6 separate regions of the Mus musculus genome follow, and regions 1, 3, 4, 5 and 6 are each reported to be linked to region 2. Evidence: microRNA targets listed by miRTarBase, many of them from high-throughput screens and not tested one by one. Region 2 holds a microRNA gene; each other region holds the end of a gene's coding sequence. Distances are from middle to middle.
What was found. Region 2 holds the annotated microRNA mmu-miR-1903 (CCUUCUUCUUCUUCCUGAGACA, at 1,039-1,060, shown strand). A microRNA usually pairs through its seed, bases 2 to 8, with sites in the 3' UTR of a target mRNA and lowers its output. Matches are read on the target gene's strand: a 7mer-m8 pairs with bases 2 to 8, a 7mer-A1 pairs with bases 2 to 7 and ends in A, and an 8mer does both.

Region 1: miRTarBase lists Dgkg as a target of mmu-miR-1903. Seed matches in the 3' UTR shown: 7mer-A1 at 609-615, 7mer-A1 at 1,689-1,695 and 7mer-m8 at 1,691-1,697.
Region 3: miRTarBase lists Slc22a12 as a target of mmu-miR-1903. Seed matches in the 3' UTR shown: 8mer at 774-781.
Region 4: miRTarBase lists Tango6 as a target of mmu-miR-1903. Seed matches in the 3' UTR shown: 7mer-m8 at 3,416-3,422, 8mer at 2,895-2,902, 7mer-A1 at 2,629-2,635, 8mer at 2,626-2,633, 8mer at 2,623-2,630 and 7mer-m8 at 2,621-2,627.
Region 5: miRTarBase lists Dcc as a target of mmu-miR-1903. The part of its 3' UTR that is shown has no 7-base or 8-base seed match.
Region 6: the mRNA of Lpin1 is a reported target of mmu-miR-1903. Seed matches in the 3' UTR shown: 7mer-A1 at 2,440-2,446.

The regions. Positions count from the first base shown.
Region 1 is chr16:22,465,735-22,469,821 of GRCm38, reverse strand. Dgkg (diacylglycerol kinase, gamma) reads left to right here. Exons shown (of 25, transcript NM_138650.2): 25 at 475-3,254. The coding sequence ends at 573. Among named protein-coding and RNA genes, the nearest start is that of Etv5, 28 kb to the right of the region's middle.
Region 2 is chr8:128,358,213-128,362,299 of GRCm38, forward strand. Mir1903 (microRNA 1903) reads left to right here and starts at 1,029; the gene lies at 1,029-1,108. Nrp1 (neuropilin 1) reads left to right here and starts at 861. Exons shown (of 17, transcript NM_008737.2): 1 at 861-1,420. The coding sequence starts at 1,348. A930035F09Rik (a long non-coding RNA gene) reads right to left here and starts at 25. Exons shown (of 3, transcript XR_879381.3): 1 at 1-25.
Region 3 is chr19:6,532,776-6,536,862 of GRCm38, reverse strand. Slc22a12 (solute carrier family 22 (organic anion/cation transporter), member 12) reads left to right here. Exons shown (of 10, transcript NM_009203.3): 9 at 1-126; 10 at 671-1,009. The coding sequence ends at 734. Nrxn2 (neurexin II) reads right to left here. Exons shown (of 23, transcript NM_001205234.2): 23 at 3,646-4,087. Among named protein-coding and RNA genes, the nearest start is that of Slc22a12, 8.3 kb to the left of the region's middle.
Region 4 is chr8:106,849,710-106,853,796 of GRCm38, reverse strand. It overlaps Tango6 (transport and golgi organization 6), which reads right to left. Exons shown (of 18, transcript NM_173037.1): 18 at 2,358-3,618. The coding sequence ends at 3,442. Among named protein-coding and RNA genes, the nearest start is that of Gm34197, 4.8 kb to the right of the region's middle.
Region 5 is chr18:71,255,655-71,259,741 of GRCm38, forward strand. Dcc (deleted in colorectal carcinoma) reads right to left here. Exons shown (of 29, transcript NM_007831.3): 29 at 1-3,425. The coding sequence ends at 3,336. Among named protein-coding and RNA genes, the nearest start is that of Gm41772, 610 kb to the left of the region's middle.
Region 6 is chr12:16,534,603-16,538,679 of GRCm38, forward strand. It overlaps Lpin1 (lipin 1), which reads right to left. Exons shown (of 21, transcript NM_015763.4): 21 at 1,067-3,970. The coding sequence ends at 3,811. Among named protein-coding and RNA genes, the nearest start is that of Lpin1, 53 kb to the right of the region's middle.

The DNA.
Region 1 (4,087 bases), not on the chromosome of region 2:
AGCTGGTTGACATACGTCTGCTGCCTGGACTGAAATCGGGCCTGGGAGCATGGCGAGCTATGTCCCCACCCCACCATGTGACCTTCGACTAAGATAAGTCTCTGCCGGAGTTCTGGGCTCCTCTTCCTTATCCATCCTACAGAGTGGTGAACGAGAAGGTTCCTGAGGTCTCCTCTGACTGTGACATTCTGACAGTCTATGAATAGCAAGGACACAGGACAGGTGCGAGCTGATTGCCACGTGGGAAGCTCACACCTGTCTCTCCCCGGTGTTTCCGCCCCTCACTTCCAGCCGTGCCAAACTCCAGGCTCTGTCAGGGTCAAGTTGCCAATTTTGAAACTGTTCAAGGACAGTTGTCCTTCTGCGTGAGGCTCCTTTGAGCCCAAACTGGCCTTCTCTCTACTCTGCAACTCACTCTGCCCGAAGTTACTAGACTGTACGTTACCACTAATTGATCTCTGTTTCCTCTTTCAGATTAAAATCACTCACAAAAACCAGGCACCTATGATGATGGGGCCTCCCCAGAAGAGCAGCTTTTTTTCTCTGAGGAGGAAAAGCCGTTCAAAAGACTAAACAATATGCCAAACACCAGCTCTACTGAGAAAGGAAAGAAGAATCTACACACACACACACACACACACACACACACACACACACACACACCTGTAACCAGAGGAAGCCAAGCCACCTTCCAGAGGAAAGTGCAATCCTGCCATGCAGTCTACCTGTTTTGAAAATGGATCCACTCTTAACAGAGCCAATACCCATGAAATATTCCAAATGGACTCAGGGCCCACGAAGATGGGTTGGCTCATGCAGCAACTTTCACATTCCCACAGGCTTTGGGTAGACTTTGAGCCTGCAGGAGAAATCTCCCTTTTTCTGTGCCACACTCCTGTAAGGCTCCAGGTTGTAGGTTTCCTGCCTACAGCAAGATCGGATGTGGTCAAGGGAAAGAGCTCCAACCCAGAAACCTTGCACAAAAGTCCTTCTGTATAAAAACAAAACAGCCCACAGCTCTGCAAGCAGAAGCCTTGGCAGGGCTCGGCGAGCACAGGATGGTTGCTTTGCTGTCCTTCAAGTAACAGCTCCCCCCTTAACTTGCAGGGGAAAGCCAAGAAGCTGTGGAAAGCCGTTTCCATTCTTGGTTCCCTCTGCTGTCCATGGGTACTTGTTCGCTTCCTGAAGCATCTCTTGGTGGCTGTTTTGCTTAGAGAGCAAACAAGGCTGCCCGGGCAGCGTGCTTTAGATGTGGTATTTATTTTCATAGTTCCTATGAACACTTGGGAGGAAGAGCTGAGAAAGTGGACTTTATTTTTCAAATTTGATGTCATAATATTGTGTAAAAAGGAAAGAAACAGAAAAAAAAAAAAAAAAACACTCCCAGTATTCCCCACTCCTCACTACCATACAAGCCAAAGTGTGTCACTTTGAATCCCAAGCCCTGGTGGCAGAGACGATGGGGGTATGGGTTTGGGGGGACTTTGCTGGGAAAACCAGGAGACTGTTACGGGACTCCCTGTTTGCACATCTCACTCTCACAGTGTGGCAGAGGGGCCTTCTGATGGTCTTCTCTACATACCTATGTAGCGTATTTGTTTATATATAATATATAAATATTTATTTACTGCTGGACTTTTCCTGATTAGAAATAAACATAGTGTGGGAACAGGACATGGGAAAGAAAAAAGAAGAAGGCCCTTACTCTTCCACTGTCGTTTGCTTGTAGAGACACATTTCTCTGGCTGGTTTCAAGGTTTATGAGAATTATCTACATCCGGGGAGCAACTATGAACACGTGCTGTTCAAGCCTCATTCCCCCCCCCCCATTGGTTGATAAGGAAACTGAGTTGTGGAAAAGTTAAAGACTTCTCCATTTTATTGTGGATAAGGAGGTTTGACTGTAAATGTTACTAAGAAGGTCACTAACAAACAGAAGAACCTGCATCTGGGGAAAGGGTTATTTCTTGTCACTGAGGATTGGTCGATGTTGGATCTAGGTTCCCAGCAAGGAACCATCTTATAGCCTGTGTGTGGATGGAGCAAGCCCACACAAGAAAATGGGAGGTGGAGAATTGAGCTAACTTCCAAGTGCTTTATGGCTTGTCCTACATGGAGAGAAGTTGGCCTGATGTTAAAGGCACCAGACAGATCAATTGATTGAACTACTATGTCATCTCATCATGTCACCGATCTTCTTGCTTTGGATACCTTCCTGGGTACATCTGTGACTTCTGTAAGATGTTGCCAACCAGAACAGAAGAGTTTTGGCCCTGCTCAGTGGGCTTCAGTCAGCTGGTGCCAGCATCTTCCTCCTCTCTGGAGGGCAACTCTATACAGCATCACTGGTAGAAAGCAACAGTTGCCTCAGGCCCCTGGCTCCCCTGGACCTTCATTTCTGTCTCAAATTTCTTAAGAGGAAATCCAGGCCCAGTTTGACATCACTCCACTGAGCTGCCTCCAGTCTTGCCATAGCCAAGGAAGGGAATATGAAGAATCTGTACAAGTTGAGCCCACCTCGGAAGGAAGCACTCTCAACTAGAATCCAGGGCTGAGACTTGGAACCCTCCTGCTCAGCAAACATGCTTCTACTGAGCAAGGGAGACACCAGGCCACATAAAGAGCATACTGGTGGGATGCCTAGAGATGTGACCAGCCAGCTCCGGAGTAATAGCAAGCACTACTTTGGAAGACAATTGATTCAGAAACTGAGGCAGATTCAACTTCAAGGTCACGGATTCTAAAAATTTCACAGAAGTGTTTGTATATGTTTCAGCTCTGACCCCCACGAGGTCACAGATGTTGAGACAATACTATCAGTAGGTAAAACGGACTCACGAGTCTCTCGATGGGGCCCTGCAGAGGTTAAATGTTTCTTGAGAAACACAGCCCAGTTCTTTTCAAAGGCACAGAGTATAAAATGTGGCATTGCACTTCTAATTTGTTGTTGTTTAATCTTACCTTACAAATCATCTTTTAAACACCATGGCTGTGGTTTCTTATTGTGTAGTGCATCATCCAAGTGACTCCCACACCAAGCTCTACGGCTAGCCAGCAAAGTATTATTATTTCCACCTTGCAGAGGAGAGGGGGGGGGGCTTACTGGTGTTTAGTAGCTTCTTCAAGCTCCGTGGTCAAGGGAGAGCCTAGTCTCTCCTCTCTTCTCCTGCTCATATTCTTCTCACGCTGCAGACTTGTTCTCACCTGCCTTCCTGCTTCCGCCCCACTAGCAATAAAAACAATGAAACCGGAAACGTTTGGTGCACCTTGTCGCTGGGCTGGTGGGTTAGGAGCCGTGGTTCAGTGTGGTGTGGTTTTCATGGGGTTTCCCCGGTGAGTTGGGAACGGAGAGAGAATTTGTAGAAAGATTATATTCAGGTCACAGACCAACTCCTCTCAAGAGAGTTCATTCTACAGATGGAAAAAATACGTTAAATTCCCAAATAAATTAGGAAATACTTGGCAGAACCTTACAGAGCCTCCAGACTGGCATTATATAACATGCATATATATATATATATATATATATATATACACACATATGCACATTATATAAGGTGACATAGTACTTAATGTGCTGTATATATTATGTAAATTACATATTTGTGAGTAATCATGGTAAATATAGAGACCTACTAATCACTTTTTTACACATATTCAGTGACAGATTAGAAAGTTGCTTTGCCAGAGAGTCTTAAAACTTACTCTCTCCTGCTGCTTTGGTTCCAACTCCTGCCAAAAATAATTACATCAACCTTCCCCATCTCTAGCCCCCTCTTCTCTTAGCCAAAACCCTCAGTTACTTTCTGTCCCAGCTAGGCTGTGCCTTCCTTAATACTACCACAATCAGAAGACATAAAAATACAGAGTCCTGTGGATAAGCAGGATCTAGACTGATTCCCTGTGTCAAAGGCTTATACCTCAGCATTCCAAAGCAGGTGGGTGTCTGATGTCAACATTAAAGGAAGGGAGAGGGAACAGGAAGGGAAGGAGGAAGGCGCCTGCCAGCCCTCTGAGGAGGGAAACCATACAGTCAACGCTCAGTTACTAGTTCTAGGCTCCAACAGGAATCAGTGAGAACATAGCT
Region 2 (4,087 bases):
AAGGCGCGCCACCATCCATCCTCCGAGCTCATGTAACCCCAAAGAAGAGGGGACCAAATCTCGGGGAACAATGCAGCCTGAAGCGTCAGGGGTGGGGATGGGGGTATCAGGTACCCATCCTCGCCTTTATGCACGGCGAGGAGACCTTGTTCCGCTGCAGCCAGGGTCCGTGCTCTAAGAAAGTCTGCCTATGCTTTACGTGGCAGACTGGGTCACAGTTCTCTAAGATCAACAGCGTGTCTCGCAGAACAACCAAGGCGTTCTTCTTTTAGTCTAAGTCCTACTCGGAGCGTCCTGGAGCGCCCGACTGCTTCCTGCCCCAAACCTCAGGCTGACACCCAGGAAGTGAAAGCGGGGACTGACAGCGCGATCCACGCCTCCGGGGGCGCCGGTACCTAGGGATTAGGAGTTCCGTGAAGTAGCAGCTAACCCCGGTCTCTCGGAACTCCTTGACTCCAGGATCCTCGCCTACACGAGCAGCCTAGTTCAGTTCTGGGGTGCAGAGATCTCGTCAAGGTAGACTAGCCTGCCACTGGGGCTGGTACCACTTGTACTGCCCCTTCTGACACACATACGTGACCTTGCGCTCTGGGCGCAGACAACCTGCTCCCTAGTGACCTTCTTCCCGCGGAGAGCACAGCAGGGTACCCGGAGGTGGGGTGGAGGGGGGAGCCCAGAGGACCAACCGGGAAAGCACGCGGAGAGAAACTTGTGTCTCTGAATCTCCAGCCAGGCAATCACTGGCAGAGCTGTGCGGGGAGGGGGCGGGAGGAAGGGAGGGAAGGGCTCTGGGAGGGAGGGGGAGGTCGGAGAGAGAGGCGGGTGCCAGTGGAGAAAGTCCTTGCTCTCCCGCTCATCTTTTCATTGCTCTCTCTCCTTCCCGCAGACAACCCGGACCTCCTCTGGGCGCCAGCTCCTCGGCTCCAACCCGTCCAGAATCAAGCGGGATTTTTTTTTTCTTTCCCTCTAGAAATTGGCTTTGGTGTGTCGCCCGCCCTCTCCCCTCCTCCTCGCAACTCCTCCCCTCTTTTTTTTCCTCCTTCTTCTTCTTCCTGAGACATGGCCCGGGCAGTGGCTCCTGGAAGAGGAACAAGTGTGGGAAAAGGGAGAGGAAATCGGAGCTAAATGACAGGATGCAGGCGACTTGAGACACAAAAAGAAAAGCGCTTCTCGCGAATTCAGGCATTGCCTCGCCGCTAGCCTTCCCCGCCAAGACCCGCTGAGGATTTTCTGGTTCTTAGGCGGACTTAAGAGCGTTTCGGATTGTTAAGATTATCGTTTGCTGGTTTTTCGTCCGCGCAATCGTGTTCTCCTGCGGCTGCCTGGGGACTGGCTTGGCGAAGGAGGATGGAGAGGGGGCTGCCGTTGCTGTGCGCCACGCTCGCCCTTGCCCTCGCCCTGGCGGGCGCTTTCCGCAGCGGTAAGTGACAGCCGGAGACGGGAGCAACCAGAGTGCCCGGGGCTGCCGAGTCCCCTCGGGCGAAGGGGTTCCAGCCCCAGCCACGGGACTTCCAGCCCCAGCCACGGGACGCGCGCACGGCTGCCGGGCGCAGGAAACTTGCCTGCGCAAGGAACGGAGAAGTCAGGGCGTCTGGGGCAGGAGGACCACAAACCCTCGGCCCCCTGCTCCAGTTGGTTGCTGGCTTCTCCTGCCTCTGTTTCGAGACAGAGCTGCCTACCTTCCCAGATCAGCACACCAATTATCTTAATAATGTTTCCTCCCAGAGGCAATTAAATGAGACTCCCTTTCAAAAATCTGATGGCTGCTGAGAGTTAATGAACACTTCACCGGGAGGACTTCCTGGTTCTCCTCAAAACACCCCTGCTCGGTTTCCTCTGGTGGGCGACACAGAGAGATAGCGGTCAGTCTTGGCGCTGGAACTCTCCGCTGCCTTTGTAAACCGTCTGTGATCAGTCTGAAGTATGAATGAAAGTCGCACTGTCAATAAAGGCTTTGGATCTATTCAGTGTGAGGTACCAGCGTGTCTGAGAATTCGTAACCCTGTTGCAGCTTCCAGTTGGCTTTTAAAACCACTCACTGTTAAGTAAATGAAAGGCAGTCCTGGGTATAAACAGTGCCTTGGAACATAAAGAGTGTGTTTAAAATGGGATCTGGTACAAATGTGTTCCACGTCCCCTGGAAAGGTGCTGAAGGCTAGGCAAGGGCTGATCGGAACAGTAGATCTTCATCATTATTATTAACTAATAGCTAAATGTTTACTTTGTCTGGCTCAGATTTCAATCAAAGTAATTAGGAGAAAAGTGCATCTACCACTTATTGTAGTATATTGTTTTAATAAGAGCTGAGCGGAGGGCTCTACCAGGAAGAATTTAAATCACTCCTTTATGATAGAAGTTAATCTCCTTAATGTGCTTTCCCCAGGTTTTGTGATTTCAACTATAGATCTCCCCCAACAGGTACCAAGCAGTGTTCTCAAAAGATATGCAAAATTTTTGTGAACACGGCTGGAATTCAATTTATTAATGAATTCGAGTTGGCGGCATCTTCCTATATACTCTGGAAGGGAAGCCAAACACTCAAAAAATCATGAATGTGGAGTTCAATTTGTTAATGAACCTGAGTTGGTGGAGTGCTTCTATACTCTGGCAGGGAATGAAATATCTTTTTCCTCTAACAGAAAGAACTCAAATGTTTAGAACTCAAACGGTTATCCTTCATAATGCGTAAGGATGGAGTGGAGGCCCTCAACTTTCCTAATGCTGCAACCCTTTTAGTACAGTTCATGCTGTGGTGACCCCCAACCATAAAATTATTTTTGTTGCTACTTCATAGCTGTAGTTTTGCTACTGTTATAAATCGTAATGTAAATATTTTTGGAGAAAGAGGCTTGCCAAAGGGGTTGAAACCCACAGATAGAGAACAACACTGGGTTAGAGCCATGTTGGGGTACCCAAAAGATGGTCATAATAACCAATGTGAAGAGCATTAAGACTTGTGTGGTACTGAACAACACACACACACACACACACACACACACACACACTTTTTAATTTTCTTAGCAGAAATGTGGGGGATGCTGAGAATCTGGACTCCACTCAACTGAAACCTTATTGCTATGCTTGAGGTGGCCAGGGCTGGCACATGACTCAGTAACTCTCTAGTCCTCTTAAAACCATATCCACCTCCTCCCAGTAAGTGTCTACTAAATTAATTCATTAACCTTATTTAGGACTAATGGTCCACAGTCATTAGGAATCGCTCTCTCCTAATCAAGTGTTAGAGAGACTGAACAGAGTGTGGGAGTCCAGCAGTCCACATTATCTTATTACACTGTCACTTTCTCAGAAGTCACAGATTAAAGTGCTCTGGTATGGTACCAACCCCACCTCACTGTCTTCTGAAGTGACTATCTGTCGACTGTTTTATTTCTCTCTCCTAACAGATGCCATGGTGGCTACACAGAGCTGGAGTGACTTAATGAGCTGGGGGGTGGGGCTGAGGGGGTCACTCTCCAAGATTTCTGCACAAAACAAAATAATGCCAGAGCCTCTGCAGAATCACACCACTGAGCTGGCTAACGTCATTAGCTGAGATTCTGAGCGTTGGTTGCAACATTAGTTCTTCTTGAAGACCTAAAGCTTTTAAAAACCAATGGGAAGCGAATCTGTAGGACCAACCCACTCCAATCTAAGAAACAGCCAGAAACATCTAGCAATTGGAGAAAACAACATAATTTATATTGTCTTCTTTTTAATTTATGGGAAATGACTTCTGTAATGCATGTAGCTTTATGCATTTTTGATGTGCACTTCATCTTTCATTTCCATTTGACCTGGTTTTCCTGTAATAAAATTCCTTAGATTTATAAATTCATGCTGAGAGCAAAGAATGCCATTCTCTTTCCACAGGGAATCTATTAGATGTAATATTAAAATCTATATATACCATTACTGGATGTTTGTGATTGATAGGCTTATACATTTCAATATTTCATACCTGTACTTCCTACATAGTTTATGCACCAAATTTTTATTGCCTAAAATTAAGCATCAATAAATGGGGTGGCATTTGCAGGCTGTGGCTCTCCTGTGCGAAACCCATAATAGAGAGTGACAGTAGCGATCT
Region 3 (4,087 bases), not on the chromosome of region 2:
CTATGGCTCCTGGATGCCCCTGCTGGTGTATGGAGTGGTGCCAGTGTTAAGTGGCCTAGCTGCACTGCTGCTGCCTGAGACCAAGAACTTACCACTGCCTGACACCATCCAAGACATCCAGAAACAGTGAGTGGAGCCGCCTGCAGACCACCTCCTCACTCCCTCCTTCCCCATCTCCCAGATCTCCTCCCTCCCTCCACAAAAGCCCAAAACAGGCTGGGCACTCACCCTTCTCAAACAAAGGAGAAAGCAGAAGTCAAGGGAGGGCTAGCATGGACCAGAGTTACACCACACATCAGGAGAGTGGAGACCAGGGTAACAGGTGGATTTTAACCCTCAGCCTCCATTCCACCATGTGGAGGAAAAAATGGCCCAGCCACCCCCAGGTCCACCTTAGAGAAGTGGAGGGGGAGAGGACACGTGAGCAAGCTGGCGTTTGTCACGGGGAGGGGGGGTGATGGGTGTGGCTGGGAATTTCACAGGTGGCAGACTCTGCCACTAAAGTCATTGGGTGGTGACATGGTTGGACAACCCACCCCACCCTGACATGCTCAGTAAGTTCAGACCTGAGCCCCAGGCAGGGTGCTCAGACCTGGGCATGGACACACAGGTCAAAAGTCAGGGGTCATTCTGCTCCTTAGAGTCACACATCTCTGTCTTTCCTGAACAGGTCAGTGAAGAAGGTAACACATGACACACCAGATGGCTCCATCCTGATGTCTACCCGGCTGTAGTTGCCTGGAGAAGGAACACAGCCACAATAAGAGGAGGAGGAAGAAGAGGAGGAGGAGGAAGAGGAGAAGAGAGAGAGAGAGAGAAGGAGGAGGAGGAGGAGGAGGAGGAGGAGGAGGAGTAAAGGGCAGGGCTGGCGACGGCGGGTAAAGACACCTGCCTCCGGGCCTAAATTTCTGAAACTCATGTGACAACAGACTTCACAAAGTTGTCCTCTGAGCTCCGCATGGACACATACCCGCCCCCGGTGATACACACAAATAAATAATTTTTAAAAGAATGAAAATGAGGAAGAAGAAAGGGAGAACAAAAAGGAAGGACGGAGGAAGAGAGGGAGCAGGGGGATGAAGTGGGGATGAGGGGGCAGGGGGAGGAGGAGAGGAGGAGATGGCTTCTTCCAGGTCCTGCAGAACAGCCACGGGAAGCAAAGAGCTCTATCCCTGTAATTCCGTCTGAAGGACAGAAGGCTGCCCAGACACCATTACCCTGACTTCCCCAGCAGCTGCACACCAGAGAGAGGCCAAGCCTAGGGGACACCTTCTCGCTGCCCACCACCCAGCCTACTGCACGACTCAGAACTGAGCACCTCAGCACAGGCAAAGCAGCAGCAGCATCTCAGGGTCACTGCGGGCCTCGGTCGGCTGGCCTGGTCCCTCTCCAGCCTCTCCTCACTCCATGTGCCCGTCCATGTCTGCCTGGGTCTCCGTCCCACATGACACCCTCTAGACCCTCCAGACCCACCTTCCAGGGTTCAGGGACAACTCATGACTCTGATGGCATTGTGAACCATGGTTAGGGCCACACATCTGCCACTCCTCACCCTCCGCCACACACACACCACATACACACATGTATACATACATGCACACACATACCATATTCATGTACACACAAGCATCTACCTGTGTGACTGCTCCTAGGCACCTCAGAGGAAGGCTGCAACACACACACACATACCACATATACATACATGTACACACATACCACATCCATGTATACACAAGCATACACAGAATGTATACAGCTGCAGATACATATGCACAGTCACATGTGTGCACTTGCACAAAAAGGGTGGGTACGAAACAGAAAACAGCCCTTGTCTTAGATGTTGGTCCTGCAGTCCTGCTCCTCGGCTGCAGCTCCTGAACCTCTGGGAGACTATGTCCTTTGGCTATGTGTACATGCACACAAGCACAAAACACACACGCGCGTGCATACACACACACACACACACACACACACACACACACACACACACACGCACGCACGCACGCACACTCGCACACTTCCTAGTGACACTCCCCCAGATGTAAAGGTAAAGCTAAGATTATATTTACACTGCCTGCTGCCTCAGGACAAACTTGTTCTGCTGCTCTAGGCCCAGCTGCATTTCCTGGGGGCAACAGGGTTCCTAGGAACTTCCAGGACACAGAGCTCAGTGGAGAGATGGATGTTTCTCTCTCCTACAGTATTCTTCTAAGTCAGAGACGTTCCTTCGTCTGGATTCTGAACGGCCACCCCTGGTTATCCAGGTGGCTAAGAATTTTCAGGACAAAGCGTTCTGTCACTCTGGGAAGTGGCAGCATCACTGTCTTAGAGTCACCTGACAAATCTCTGGGCTGTGGCCCACACCCATTTAGACACACCCTCTTTTTAATGCCTACTTTGGAGGTTTCTAACCTCAAAGCTGCTGAGATACCCTCACAGTGGAGGAGCCAAGAGACTCTTTCGGAAAGGTAAACCGAGTCAAAGCCACATCCAGAGCTCTTTAGAAAACAAAGCATTTGGGTGTCAGGTCTTGGCCTTCTGATGCAGAGAGGGAGATGGAGCCCCAACTACAAGGCAACCAGGGTGATGGAGCCGTCCTTTCAACTCCTAGAGTACATTCCTGCCTCAACCAGGGTCACCATAACAACGGCTGAAGTGAGAGTAAAGGCATTCCTTCCAGGCTTGTCCCCAAGGAACTCCCGCTGTCTGTTTTCTGTGACTAACAATGCAGGTGAGGACAGGGCTCTGAGCCTGGGCTTTGAGAAGAGAACAGTAACACAGGGCCCAGGAGTGAGTCCATGACCAGCTGGGGACAGGACACCCTGGGACAGCGCTGCCCTGGTCAAAGCCTCCCCAGACTCCCACAGGAGAGTCAGTGTGACCTCCCCAGGCTCCCAGACCAAATCTGCCCAAGATGGCAAGCGGGGCTGGAAGCCAATGGGTTCAGAAGGCCAAGGAGAGGCCACACTCACAGAGAGCCAGCCACCCAGTGGTCAGCACTCCAGGGTGGTGGCGTGCTACAGAGCTGGGAAGCAGAGCCAAGAGGTGCAGGCAAAGTCACAGGACAGAGGAACAAGTACTCAGAGGGATTCGGCCACTGCTACACTTGAGGCCCTGAACTAGCCACTGCCAGCCACCTTGGCCACCAGGAAAGACTACTTTCCTCCAAATACTGGACAAGATGTCAGCCATCTGGTAGGATGTCAGCCATCTGGTAGGACATGAGTGACCGGTGCAGAGCCTCGGAAAAGAGGGCAACATGATGCCATCGGGAACCCCAGCCAGATGCCAATCTCCCTCCCTCCCACACAAGCCGAGCCTGTCTCCCACCCTCAGCCCACTCAGCAAACACTTGCAAGCCAGACGTACAACAGTTGTCCAAGAGCCCAATGTTGTATTCAACTCAAGTCAGAGGGCTGGTTCAGGGAAACGGCTCAGTGATGGTGCAGTGGGCAAGGCCATTTGTCATCAAGACTGAAACTTCAATCTCATCCTCAGGCCCTACATTGTGGAAGCTGAGAACTGATCCCTCTAAGATGTCCTCTAACGGTACACACATCACACACAAAGTATTTAGAGGAAACTTAGCAACTGTCAGGTGCACCCACTGAGAGCACCCACCCCGAACAAACTACACAGGACTGGTGGAATTTGGAAAGTTTTTGTTTTCTTTTTCCCACACATTTCCGGGTTTGGGGTGTTTTCCAAGACTCAGACACATTTGTTAACAAAGAGAAAAAAAACTGGGGGAGCAGGGAGCCCATGGGCAGAGAAGTGACCCCAGCCATCCGCAGACACAGCCTCACTCCCGCCATCCCCTGCACCTGCAGCTAGCTGGTGCCACAGACGCAGCTCTGGTACCTCGATTATTTGTTTTTAATATATATCTGCATTTGCCTTTCCCCTCCCCCCGCCCCCCCACCCGCTCCTCCAGCGGCTTCGGCTTCCCAGCAATGCACGTTGCCCGGCAGCAGCGACACACACAAAAGGCCTTGGCCAGGTCCAGGTCCAATCCCTGGGCAGCCCCAGGCAGGAGGGGACTTGGGGCACTAGGAGAATGAACCCTACTGCCCCGCCCCAGCCACCC
Region 4 (4,087 bases), 22 Mb from region 2:
GATGTGGGATGGAAGGACTAATAGGGGAAGCAGAAGAGGACTGCCCCTTGAGAAAGGACAAACAGTCAGAGGTGGGACAGAGAGCTCGGCCACTCAGGATCCATCATGCAAGCAAGCAGGGTTCTTCCGGCCGCGTGCCAGCTTTGGGGTTCATGCCATTTGTTTGTTTTCAGGGCTGGGGATTGCGTGTAGGGCCTCATGTAGGCTGAGCAATGCTGCTACCTCCCATAGAGGTAGGTGTGAGGTAGGACTCCTGTCCTCTCAGGGTTTCCATGAACTCACTGCAGCCCAGGCAGGCCTTGAGCTTGACACCCTCCTGCCTCAGCTCCCCAGGAGCTGGGATTACAGGTCTGTGTCACCAGGCCCAGATGGACCCTTTAAGTTACGTTTGTGCTTTTCCTATCCCATTATTCTCGTTCCTTAGAGCTTTTCATTCAGAAACACATGAGTAAATTTACAGTAAAAATTATAACCGAGACAGGGTCTCCTGTTGCCCAGGTTAGCTATGTAGCTGAGGATGGCTCCGAATTTATGATCCTTTTGCCTTTTTATCCAAAGTGCTGGGATTACAGGTCTACACTATGGTGTCCGATTTTTGAGGTACTGGGGATTGAATCCAACGCTGTGTGCAGCTCAGTGACATCTTCAGGCCCTAGGATTTCATTTTTTTTTTCAGATAGAATTCCATACTGTGATCCAAGCTGTCTTAGAACTCACTATACAGCCCATATTTGACTTTGAACTCACTAAAACCCTCCTGTCTCAGCCCTGTGAGCGCCATGGTCATAAGTGTTAACTACCATGCCTGACTTAGAAGAGTTATCTGACAGTTTTTAATAATTTGGTCATGCTTACAAGGGTGTCACTAAATCATCTTCCCTTTGAATTTGATAATGAAGTCCGGAAGAAAAAAATTACTCTCTCAAATTGAGAACACCAAAAATTAATAAAATCAAATACTCTAGTCCTTTGATAGCAGTTCAAACTAAGAGTCCACTTATACAGAGAGATAAAGAGACTAAGGCTGGGAGGGGTGGACGTGTTCAGATGGAGAAGATCTTAAAGTCATCAGTGTACACCTTCAGGCACACTGGCCTAAACGCCGTGGACAGTACTCGGCCTGCGAAGCAGGCTCTATCTTTTAAAATATATTATATATAATTTTAAAATGACTTTTAATTACGTGTGTGTGTGTGTTTATGTACATGTGAGTGCTGGTACTCTTTTTTTTTTTTTTTTTTTTTTTTTTTTGGTTTTTCGAGACAGGGTTTCTCTGTATAGCCCTGGCTGTCCTGGAACTCACTTTGTAGACCAGGCTGGCCTCAAACTCAGAGATCCACCTGCCTCTGCCTCCCGAGTGCTGGGATTAAAGGCGTGCGCCACCACGCCCGGCTTGAGTGCTGGTACTCTTAAGAAGCCAGAGGTGTCAATCGGCTGGAGCCAGAGCCACGGGCCATTGTGAGTATCTCATGTGGGCTGGGAACCAAGTTTGGGTCCTCGGCAAGATCAGTGTGTACTCTACTGCTGAGCCATCTCTCCAGCCTTGGGTTGGATGTATTCTAAAGGCTAAGTAACACTCGCTTAAGCAGCTCCAACCCTGACTTTATAGGCACTCTTGATTTAAAAAATATAAACTAATACTGCTACCCTAGCTGAATAGAAATATTCCTTCAAAACATTCAAGCTCTGTGTAGCCCTGGCTGTCCTGGAACTCACTCTGTAGGTCAGGCTGGCCTCGAACTCAGAAGTCCACCTGTCTCTGCCTCATGAGTGCTGGGATCAGAGGTACGTGCTGCCACGGACGGCAGCCTTGTTTGATCCTTTGCTTGACACACTGCCTGTGGTTTGTATCAGTGATTGGCACCTTTCTGGCGATGCCTACTGGGAAGGCTAAGCTGAGAAGGCTGTGTAATCTGGCTTGCTCCCAACAGGCGAGAACACCTGAATGTCACTCCATAGTCTCCTGCACTGTCACAGTTCTGCTTCCTTTAGATCAGGATACCCCAGAAAGTGGAGATAGATAAAGTCCCGAGATAGAGTCCTATACTTATCTCTGTGATGCTGGGGATCGATGAACACCGCATTCATCTTATAAAGGCGTAGGCTACAGAGCGGGCTTATCGGAAGCAGCCAGTTGCTTCCTTTTCCTTTCCGTTCCATGTGGACGAAGTTGCACACACACTGTGCCTGTGTATATATGTTCATGTATGCGTATGTTCATGTGGGCTCATGAGTTGAACAGACACTGTACGAGCATGTAAGTGTGTGTGTGTGTGTGTGTCTGTGTGTGTGTAGGCCAAAGGTCAACGTTGGGTGCTGTTTCCCAGGAGGCGCTGCCCTTTTTTTTTTTTTTTTTTAGAGAGAGAGAGAAAGGGATGGGGGTGGGGTCTCTTGGTGGCTGAGAGCTCACAGACTAATTAACTAGACTGGCTAGCCTGTGAGCCTCCAGGATGCACCTGTCCCTGCACCCTCCCCTGCTCCTTAGGCCTGCAGGCACATGCCACCTCAAGCAGTGTTTTTACCTGGATGCAGAGGATGGAGCGCAGGTCCTCAAGTTTGCATAAGTACTTCAGGGACTAAGGTATCTCCATATCTCCCCAGTCTCCTCCTCCTCCTCTTCCTTCTTCTTCTTCTTTTAACCCTTTCTTGTCTTTTGCAATGAAAATACCAAAATACATAAATCCAAGAGCGGATGAACACAGTGCTAAATCTGAAGTTGTTTCAGTGAGCTGGTGGCAGGCCACTCCTGTGCCACATAAGCCCTGCCTGCCTTTCTCAGACCACTCCACTGTCACAGCATCACCCTGAGAGGTGCAGAAGACTGAATGGCAGCTCAAGTAAAAACAGAGGAGCAATAAAAAGAAAAAAGGCCCCAGAGGACAGACAGGGCTTACTCTTCTTCTGCAAAAGTCAACCAGCTCGGTGACAGCATTCACATTGGCTGATCATTCCAGCCAAGGTAATTTTATTCTTTTATTCTCTCGTATTGTGTAGTTTAAGCAGCAATGCTTCCTTCCCCTCCCCACAGCTGCACACCCAGATGATAGCTCTGCCTGTCCCTCATCACAGGCAGAATCATCTCCCTATGACAGGATATCAAGGTGGGACCAGGGGGGTGGGGCGGCTTCTCCAGCCGGAAGAAAATGCTCCACAGTTATACACAGGCCTCCTCTAAAGGCTGGGACGATGAAGGGTGTAGTTAGATGGGGTTCACCCTTCTCACTGCACAAGCTTTGGGCCAGATGCAGAGTGACCAAATGGACGCTCTAGAAAGGTAGCCCTGAACACCCAAGTGGTGCCAGCACCGTATAGCTACCTTCAGGTTATAGCAGACCTCAGGTCTGCACCAAGGAGGCGGTGGAGACACCTGCTGGGAGGTGTGTGACCACTGCTTTGGCTGCTTGGTTTCCCCTGCCTTCTTCCATGTTCTGTGAACCAGGTCTATGGCAGGACCACAATCTTCTTCTCCAGCTTCTGGGGCGGGAACAGGAAGTTCCTCATGATCTCATCGAGCTCCTCCAGGGCCAGCTGGGCATGCAGCTTGGCGACGTCATCAGGTTCCAAGCGCACCACGTGCTTCAGCAAGTGATAGAGATCCCTGAGGACGTCGCTCAGCACCTGGATGGAGAGATGGGGTCATGAGCACATGTCTACTGGGAAGCAGTCTCTGGCGTCCTTGTAAGATAATGCAGGGACCTTCCAACCTGGAGCATGGAGCTGGCTGTGCCCCACATAAGATTCCTTTGTGGTTTCTGCCCGCAACACCTCACTATGATTTTTAAGTCTGTGCCTCATTATTTCCAGACCCTAGTATAGCTCCTAGACCCTCCCCCTTTAGTCAAAAGATAGCAGAGGCCTCAGGACAAAGGCAGCCAAGAGTGTGTGGGCACAAATGGCTGCCTGCATCTTCCTCAGGGTCTCTGTGTGTCTATATAAGCACACATATAGGAGTCAGCGCTCCCTTTGCAATGTGGAGCCTGATGTAGAACTAAGGCCAAAGGCCTGATGGCGACAGTCTTTACCACTGACCCAGCTCACCGTCTCCTGGTCTTCTGGGGTACAGACTGACCTCAAACGTGGGGTCCCC
Region 5 (4,087 bases), not on the chromosome of region 2:
TAGAGTAAAAAAGTTAGGAGAAGGCTCCAAAGGAGAGGGAACTTTCGACAATCATCTCTGAGAACAAACTCTGGACCCATGCTTGGGGAGTTGTTTCTTGGGAAAGCCAATGAATGACACCCTTTGGCTTAAAAACGTTAATCTGGAGTCTCTTTTTGTAACTGTCACCTTTTCTGAGCACATGCCTCATTCTTAGCAATCTTCATTTTGAAAAAACCCAAACTACTACTACTATGTCCAGTTCCTTAAAGAAATCCCTAAGTAAGTCGGATTCTTATAGCATTGGTTTGAATTTTTTATTTCTGGGTTGTTGAACTGAGTATGTATTTAATAAGAGCCAAATATAAAGCTGTATTACTTAAATATTCTAGAAGATTATGGGTCTATTATATGGAGGCAGCTATAAGCACTAAGAAATACTTAACTTTTGACTAAAGCATTATACAAATGTTTTGAATATATTGTGAGCCCTCTTTATTTTTGTCAGTTTAAACAAATGCAGAAATTTCTGGAGGAATGGAAATTACTTTCTTATCAAAATGAAATAGAAAAAATATAGCAAAGTTCTTAAAAGCAGGCTCTTGCTTTTCATTTGAGCATAGTGTATAAAATCCTGAGTCCTCCTGCCAAGTTTGATGTTTTTTCCCATTTCCAGAGAACTAACTGCTGGTGGCAGAGATGCTGGCTGCCTCTTCAGCTTTGCCCTGTGGGGCTCAAAGAGATTTATAAGTTTAAAGGGTCTTGTATGGAGTGAGCTAGACACACAAGCTAGACAAATTCAGGCTGCCTCACACCGTCATAGACCTTGGAATTCACTTGCCACCTGGAACCCTGGGGAATTTTACTGTGTACACGTGAGCCACTGGAAAGATGATGGGAACAAGAGCTCAGCAGAAGCCGTGTTGGACTAAATACATGTTACAATCACTGAGTTAATGAAACCAGTCTCATGGTTCCAATGTATATTCAAGGCATGACAATACGACTTATTAAGAGTCACCAATTGCTAAAATAAATTATTTGTTTACTGAATTTTTCAAGAGTTGTGGAGGAAATATAACTCTGACTAAAAATGGAAAGCATACATCCAACTTTTAAAGATTACACTCCCTGAAATCATTGAAAGTTTGAAAAACCTCGAGTTTTATAAAAATTCTGGTTGTCTTAACTTTACAACTAGATGTTACAGAACACCTTTCATTATAACTTATTCCATGGAATTTGAAATTTGAGGTTTGTAGCAAACCCCAACCTGAAATTTGAGGTGACTCTCATTGATATCAAATGCCTCTAAAAAGTGGCTCTCCTTTCTTTTTATTATTAGACAGGGGAATACACTCTGGGGAGTGGAGGAAGTTATGGTAGTTCAGTAAACATTTTTCCAGTTCGAAGTAGTGGATTATTTTTAAAATATTCATTGCTATGATAAGAAATGCTTTATTTCAGGTCAGTCAACTGCTGTCTACCTCAGTGCCCAAATATTGAACAAAAGCATTCTGTCCCATTGAATAACATCACATAGTTCCTCGAAAGTACTTCCAGAAAAAAAAAAAAATCTCAGTAAATTGAACAAGCACTCTTGTTGAAGGAAACGTTTTGCAAATGGACCAGACTTTCTAATGAACCATTTGAACAAGCCCTCTCTTTGACATCAGATTTCCTTCCCGACATAAAACTGTAAAAAAATAATCTGAATTATTATTTCTGTTACAGTGCCATTTTGCTCAAAATATTTCATTCAGGGATTCATATATAATTACCCACCTAATAAAAGGAGCTATTAGGTTGTAAAGATCCTATCCTTGCCATGCTCTCTTAAAATTATGACCTACTCAAGCTTGAAATCAAAGGCAGAGCTGAAAGGAATAATTCAGCTGAAACTCTCATCAAGTTTTCAAGTCACCTAACTGATAAATATGCAAACTAGTTCCCTCTTGGCGACTCAGCTGCATAAATAGGGATTAACTCCACATACCGCTGAAAGTTCATGGGCTAAAAGGGAATGCACAGAATGTTCTTATATTCAGCTGGTTTCAAGCCGTAGATACATGGCGATAGAAGTTTAAAATTCTAGTCCACAGTTTAGATGCTGCATGGAAAAATACCTACAGGAGTTATGATGTGCAGATGTGAAGTGGCACCCATCCCTCTCTCCTCCCTGACTGTCTTAGGCATGGGATGGAAGGTTGCCTTGCCAACAGAAACCTGTGGTCAACATCTGTCAATGTTGCCTGGCACAGCTCGCTCAATGAAGATGCTATTGGTGGAAGGGACATCAACTCATGAAAAGGTACCCTGGGATATGGTTTTTCATGCTCCTTTTCTTTCTTGAGCTCGCTCTCAGGAAGTCTACTATCTCCACAGAGGGATATTGGGGACACAGGATATATGACGCATGGAGTTGGCCATTTTAGCTAAGGCTACTTGCCCAGGAGAAGTAGGGGAATGGTTGGGGATGGAGGATGGTGGAGTTTTTCTGGCCAAACTCCTGAAGAAGAAGCCTTAGTGAAACCCAGACAGGCCATCACAGTGTGGAGTGGCATAGAAGCCACTGAAATCGAAAAATGTCCTATGACAAGCTCAAGTACACAATCACCACGTGTCTGAGAAGATTGCATATTGTATTCTCCTTCTAGAAAGGTGTTGTTGCTGGCAGGATGCCACCAGTTGAGGATTTTTAAGTTTCTACTTGCTAGACATAAACGTTAATCAAGGATGGATTTACAAATACTTGCTAAAATTGGTAAAAAGTTTATACCCACTCACTAACATCAGCCACTTTTGTGAGATGGAATGATTGAGCTATAAACAAGCATTCACTGCCTTTTGCTTATTCACTTATTTTCTTTTATGCTGTCAGGAAAATATCCAATCCTTTGGTGCTATGGAGTGAGAGAGTTACCATGGATGCTCTGTAGCTGAAAAAAATAGTGAGTTTGTATTGATTTGTTATGGCATGGTACAGGCTGAAATAATGCACTTGTGAGACTAGACCTACACAGAAAATGAAAGGTCTCACTGAAGGAAAATGTAGGCATTAGTTATGACACCATGGTCCCTGCAGTGACAAAGACCCAGAACTATGCTAGCAGCTTCAGCCTTGACTTTGCAGTGAAGATGCATCTTCGGGACCTCATGACCATCATCGTATACTCCTGATGTCCATATAGGATGGGATACTGTTTTCTTCTGAAGTGCTTCAGATGTTCCTTAACCGAATGGTCCAGATGGTTGACCTGTACACTGGTAAGAGTTTTTGGACACAGGTGTGCTGTTTATGGATAATTGGTATGCTGTAAAGTTCCCAGAAGATCTCAACGTTTTGGCAATGAGTGTCAAAAGGCAGACCCTGTGATGGCGTTGAGTTGCTTCATTAGCCCTTCCAAACTTGCCATTTGTTCGCTCAAGTCATCCTGTTCATATACCTGGAGAGAGAATGAGAACGGAGTCAGGATGAGGTCTTGGTAGGCTCCTACCATGATAGATCCACTTAGTGTCTGGCTGTAAGTTGGGTCACTTATTATTCTTGAGATTTACATAGGGACTGATAGGTAGAGCAGCTCTCAGAATATTTTAACTCAATGAACTTGTAATAGCAAAAGAGCTACCAATAAGCTACTGAATACTGCTTCCATGTACTCTATACCTTTAATAGGGAAAAAAGCTTCACTGTTAAAAATATACTATTTTAAGTCATATTCTTCCAATGGCTAGCTTTGTAGTAGTGAACAAGTTAGAAGATTTCTCTGTTGTATAATTCTACTTGTCTGTGAAATGATAATGGTGCCTATTTTATAGTTTATTCTGAGCATCCCCTGACATGCTCCCTGCATGTCACAATGTCTGACCTGTGATCCATATTAACACAGTAGTTCCTCTTCGTTTTGATTGGCTATCTATAAATAGGCATCTAAAAAGTATCTAAAGATCAGCATCACCAGTATTCTTTCTTTAATAGCATGACAGATTTTAAATTTTGCATGGCAACCTGACGATTTCTTGGCTGATCAGAAATATATAGATTATAACTTTAGCTTGTGAGTGGAAACAAAGTTTTATGTTCAAAGCCAGAGTGCTTGGCATAGGT
Region 6 (4,077 bases), not on the chromosome of region 2:
TTTTTGGCTTCTGATGCAAAATGGGAATGTGTTACTCTTTGAAACCAGACCAAGCCCTTCAAATTCCCAGGTGAACAAAGCTCGTCTCTGGGAAAGTCTAGGCATCCAAAAACTCATTCTGTCTGCATGGGGGTATGAACTGCGGGGACACAGGAGAGCCTTGGGTACCACCATGGAGGTCTGGTGTCAAAGGATAAAGAGAACACAGATGAATGAGTGGCCTATAGACAAGTTTATCCTGGTTTTTATTTCAGATAAGAGAGCCTCAGACACTGCAGTCAGGTAGCATAGATCTGTGGAGCTGTCCGAGGGTTTCTTCTGTCTGTAACATGTTGAATCTACAGACACCCGGGGACCTGTTAGAATTTGGACTCTTCAGTTTTTACCCAGAAGTGCCATTAGCATTTAAGGATGATACTCTTCCATGCCCTCCATAATCACCAAGGCCAACACAGCAATCCGCAGGAAGCCTCCGGCCATTGCTAGTACAGTGTTAATAGGATATGACCAACCTCAGCTCAAACTAGTCAAGGGCTTTGATGGACTCCTTCAAAATGAAAAACTAAGGACAAATATCCAAAAGAGGGGGACAGGGTCTATGAGGTGAAGACACCTCAAACATGGCAAACAGGACCTGTGAAACACTATGTACTGAACCTTCTTCTCTGCCTCCTGGCTCCTCAACACTCCTTCCAGGCCAGAGAGGAGCCATGGTATCTCAAACAGGTCTCTCAACTTGATGATCCAATGTGGGTTGTGCAAGGACCACATGCAATCTCTTTAGTGGAAAGGACGCATTCATATCTCTCAGGAGTAAACGGGGTTGGTATGATACCTGTATGAACTCAAATAACAGCAAAGGTCTTTACTCCCATAGTGAAGAGTTCATAGCCATAAGGAGTCTTTTTATGTGTGTTCCCAGTCCATTTGTGTACAGACCGTCGAATGGATGTGCATGACTTATATGCCCATACATGTAGGAACCAGGGCCTCCAGTGTTGTTCCTCCTCAGGCTCAGTCCTGAGACAAGGGTCTCACACTGGGACCTGGGGCTTGTGGATTCTACTGGGCTGTCTGTCTAGCCAGCACCACGGATCCACCCATCCTCATCTCCCGGGCACTGGTATAACAATGCACACTGTCATTAGGCCTCATTCATGGATAATGGGGATAGAACTTGGATGTGCTTGCTTGCATGGCAAGTACTCTTACTGCCTGAGCCATTTCCCTAGCCCACACTAAGGGTTTTTTCCCCCTTCAAGTAAATAACTAAGTATTGTATATAAGAAACCAGAAAAAAATAAGAGCACCTTAAGAACTTATAAAAATAATTTAAAGTTCATATGCCTGATTTTCAGAAGTCTTTCATCCATCTTGTTTATTACAGAAATTTCTAGCTCTGCATCAAGCACAACACAGTGAAATATTATATTGATTTTTTTTTTAATCATCGCACCGGCATTTGCAAACACACAGCCAACGTTGTAAGTAAAATATTCTGAAGTAGTGATCCGAACCTGAAATCCAAAAGGAAAGTATCTGACGACAGAAGCCTGTCTCAGATGCGCCAGGTGGGTTCTCCTTCATCATGTGGGATCGCCATTTGAGGACATGTTACTATGGAGCAAGTCGCTCATTTCCATGAGCAACTTTGAAATGTATGGTACCCATATAGTATCCTAACACGTGACCTTGGGGCCTCTGGGTTTAAGTGCAGATGCAAATAAGCAACTTGAGAGAACCGGGGTGCAGCTCTCATTTGGATCTCACAGGGAGCCTAACAGTAGACGTCCACATCACTGCCTGGACAGGGCTCCTGAAGATTTTCACAGAGATCATAGAGTGTGGTTTTGTGGGAGGTGTGCTCTGTTTCAGGGTAGAGTGACAGGGAAGTTTAAGGTATATCAAAACTAGGTTCCCAAGCCAGGTGGAAGGACTGCTGTATGTCTAAGATGGTGCATTGTAGACCAGCCTTGGCTATAGAGACTCTGGCTCAAGTCCTAACATGGCATCAGGGAGCCACCTGGACAGCGGGCTGCAGAGGGCATTTGAAAAGAGATGCCAGAGCTTCCCCTGGGCATGAGGGAGACGGCCGTGAACCTCTGCAGGCCAGTGAGCTCGTATACAGTCCACAGCAATCAAAATACACACAAAACCACCGTGGTGGCAGAAGGGTTACCATGGCCTCCAAAGGTCACGAGAGAACAAGCCAGGAGCTTAATGGCTTTCCTGACTCCCAGAGGGAGCCACACACTCAGGGCCGAGTTTCTCCATCAGTGGGCGCCCACAGCAGATGACAGTGGCTTTCATTACATTCCTGTGAACTATGTGGACCACATGAGACCTTAACAGAGCCCAGTGACTACAAGGGCAGTGACTCTAGGTTTTCTTTCACAGAAAGAGTAACAGTCCATTCTACTGCTTTTTTTCTTTTTTAACTCTTCTTTCTATCTTTTCCTTTTTTTTTTTTTTTTTTTGTTCCTGTCTCCTCTGACCCTAACAATGAAATTTAAATAGAAAGATCTGTCTTTGGAGTAAAACACCCTTTAAGAAAAATAATACTTTCAAAGTAAAGCAACTCTTTTAGCAAAATACTTTTCATTTTTCACATTGTTCTGAGACAGTTCACAGCAACCTTCTATCAGCTTAAAGAACATTGCTCAAATTATTACTTTTTTTTCTTTCCCTTAGACTGTGGGGGGAAAAAAAACTAAGAAAAATGAGTGATTCGGAGATTCTAGAAGATCAGAGTGTGACATCCACAGAATGAGGCTCTTTGGACTGTCTATCACACTTAACTTTTAATGCATTCATGACGGCTATAAGCCTAAGGATCTGGCTAGGATGCTCACAACAGCAGCCCAGTGACAGTAAAGAAATAAATAATATCTGCAAAGAAAATAATTTAACTTCCGGAAACTATGTTTCTTAAAAAAAAACAACCAGTGTCTTTAGCGGCATCCTTCCTGGTGGGCGTAAGTGCTGCTGAGTCCACACTAGTGGCTCCTCCTTGCTGGGTAGCAGGACGCAGAAGGTGCTGAGATGCCGCGGACACACGCTGCCTTAGGGACTACCCTTGTAAGGTAAGGCATTGCAGTTACGGAGAGCTAGACAGTGCACGCTAAGGAAATGCCTGCTGCAGATGCGTTAAGGCATAAATAGCCCAGCCTTGAGCTATGAGGAATGGGGAGAGATGCAGCTGCGTCACAGGCCACCTTTAACCAAAGCAATTAAAGAGCTTATCACCTAAAGTGAGACAGTCGGCAATACTGCAAGGGAACGTCTAAAAAGTCAAAGCCAAGGCTAGGGCTGAGACCCAGCGAGGCCCATGTTCCCTTCACTTAGACTCGGGACACAGCCTGTGTGCAGAAGGTGGCATGGATGTCTCTGTCGTGGAAATGTGTCCCTGATGCTACTGATCCCTATGCACATCAGAGTTCCAGGGGGTAGGGGCACAGTGATACTGAGACAGGCTCTCAGGTGGCCTGCCCGCTGATAAGGGGTCATCACCCGTATTGCACATTAACTAATTGCTGGAGCAGACGGGACTGGAGGGTGCAGCATGAGGTGTGCTAAACCCAAACAGAGGGCTGCTCTGCACACTCCTAGTGCACCCAATCCTCTTGCAGCCTATGGGATGAGATGCAGCCTCTCTCCGCCCTCCATGCTTAGAAGTGTCACCCTGGGGCGAGCGAGCGAGCGAGCGAGCGAGCCGAGGGAGAAATGCTTCTCTCTTAGGCAGGTGGCCACATATCAGCCTTCCCAGCAGCTCCAGGGTCCCCACAACCTATCCTTTAATGCTCGGTCGCGTCAAGCTGAGGCTGAATGCATGTCCTGGTTTTCAAAAGGTGGCAGTGGCTCTCTCCAAAAGGTGAAGTTACTGAAAGTGTCTGAACAGGGGAAGTCACAGGAATGGCTTCTCTTTAGCAATGGGAAGACGTGATCGACCACTTCGCAGAGCCGCACGTACCTGGAAGGTAAAGGAACAGTGAGGTCACTGCCCACGGAGTCGTACCTGATACATGAAGGGCAATGCCAGACTCTGGGCTGCACTTCAGGCTGGGGAAGGGTACACTA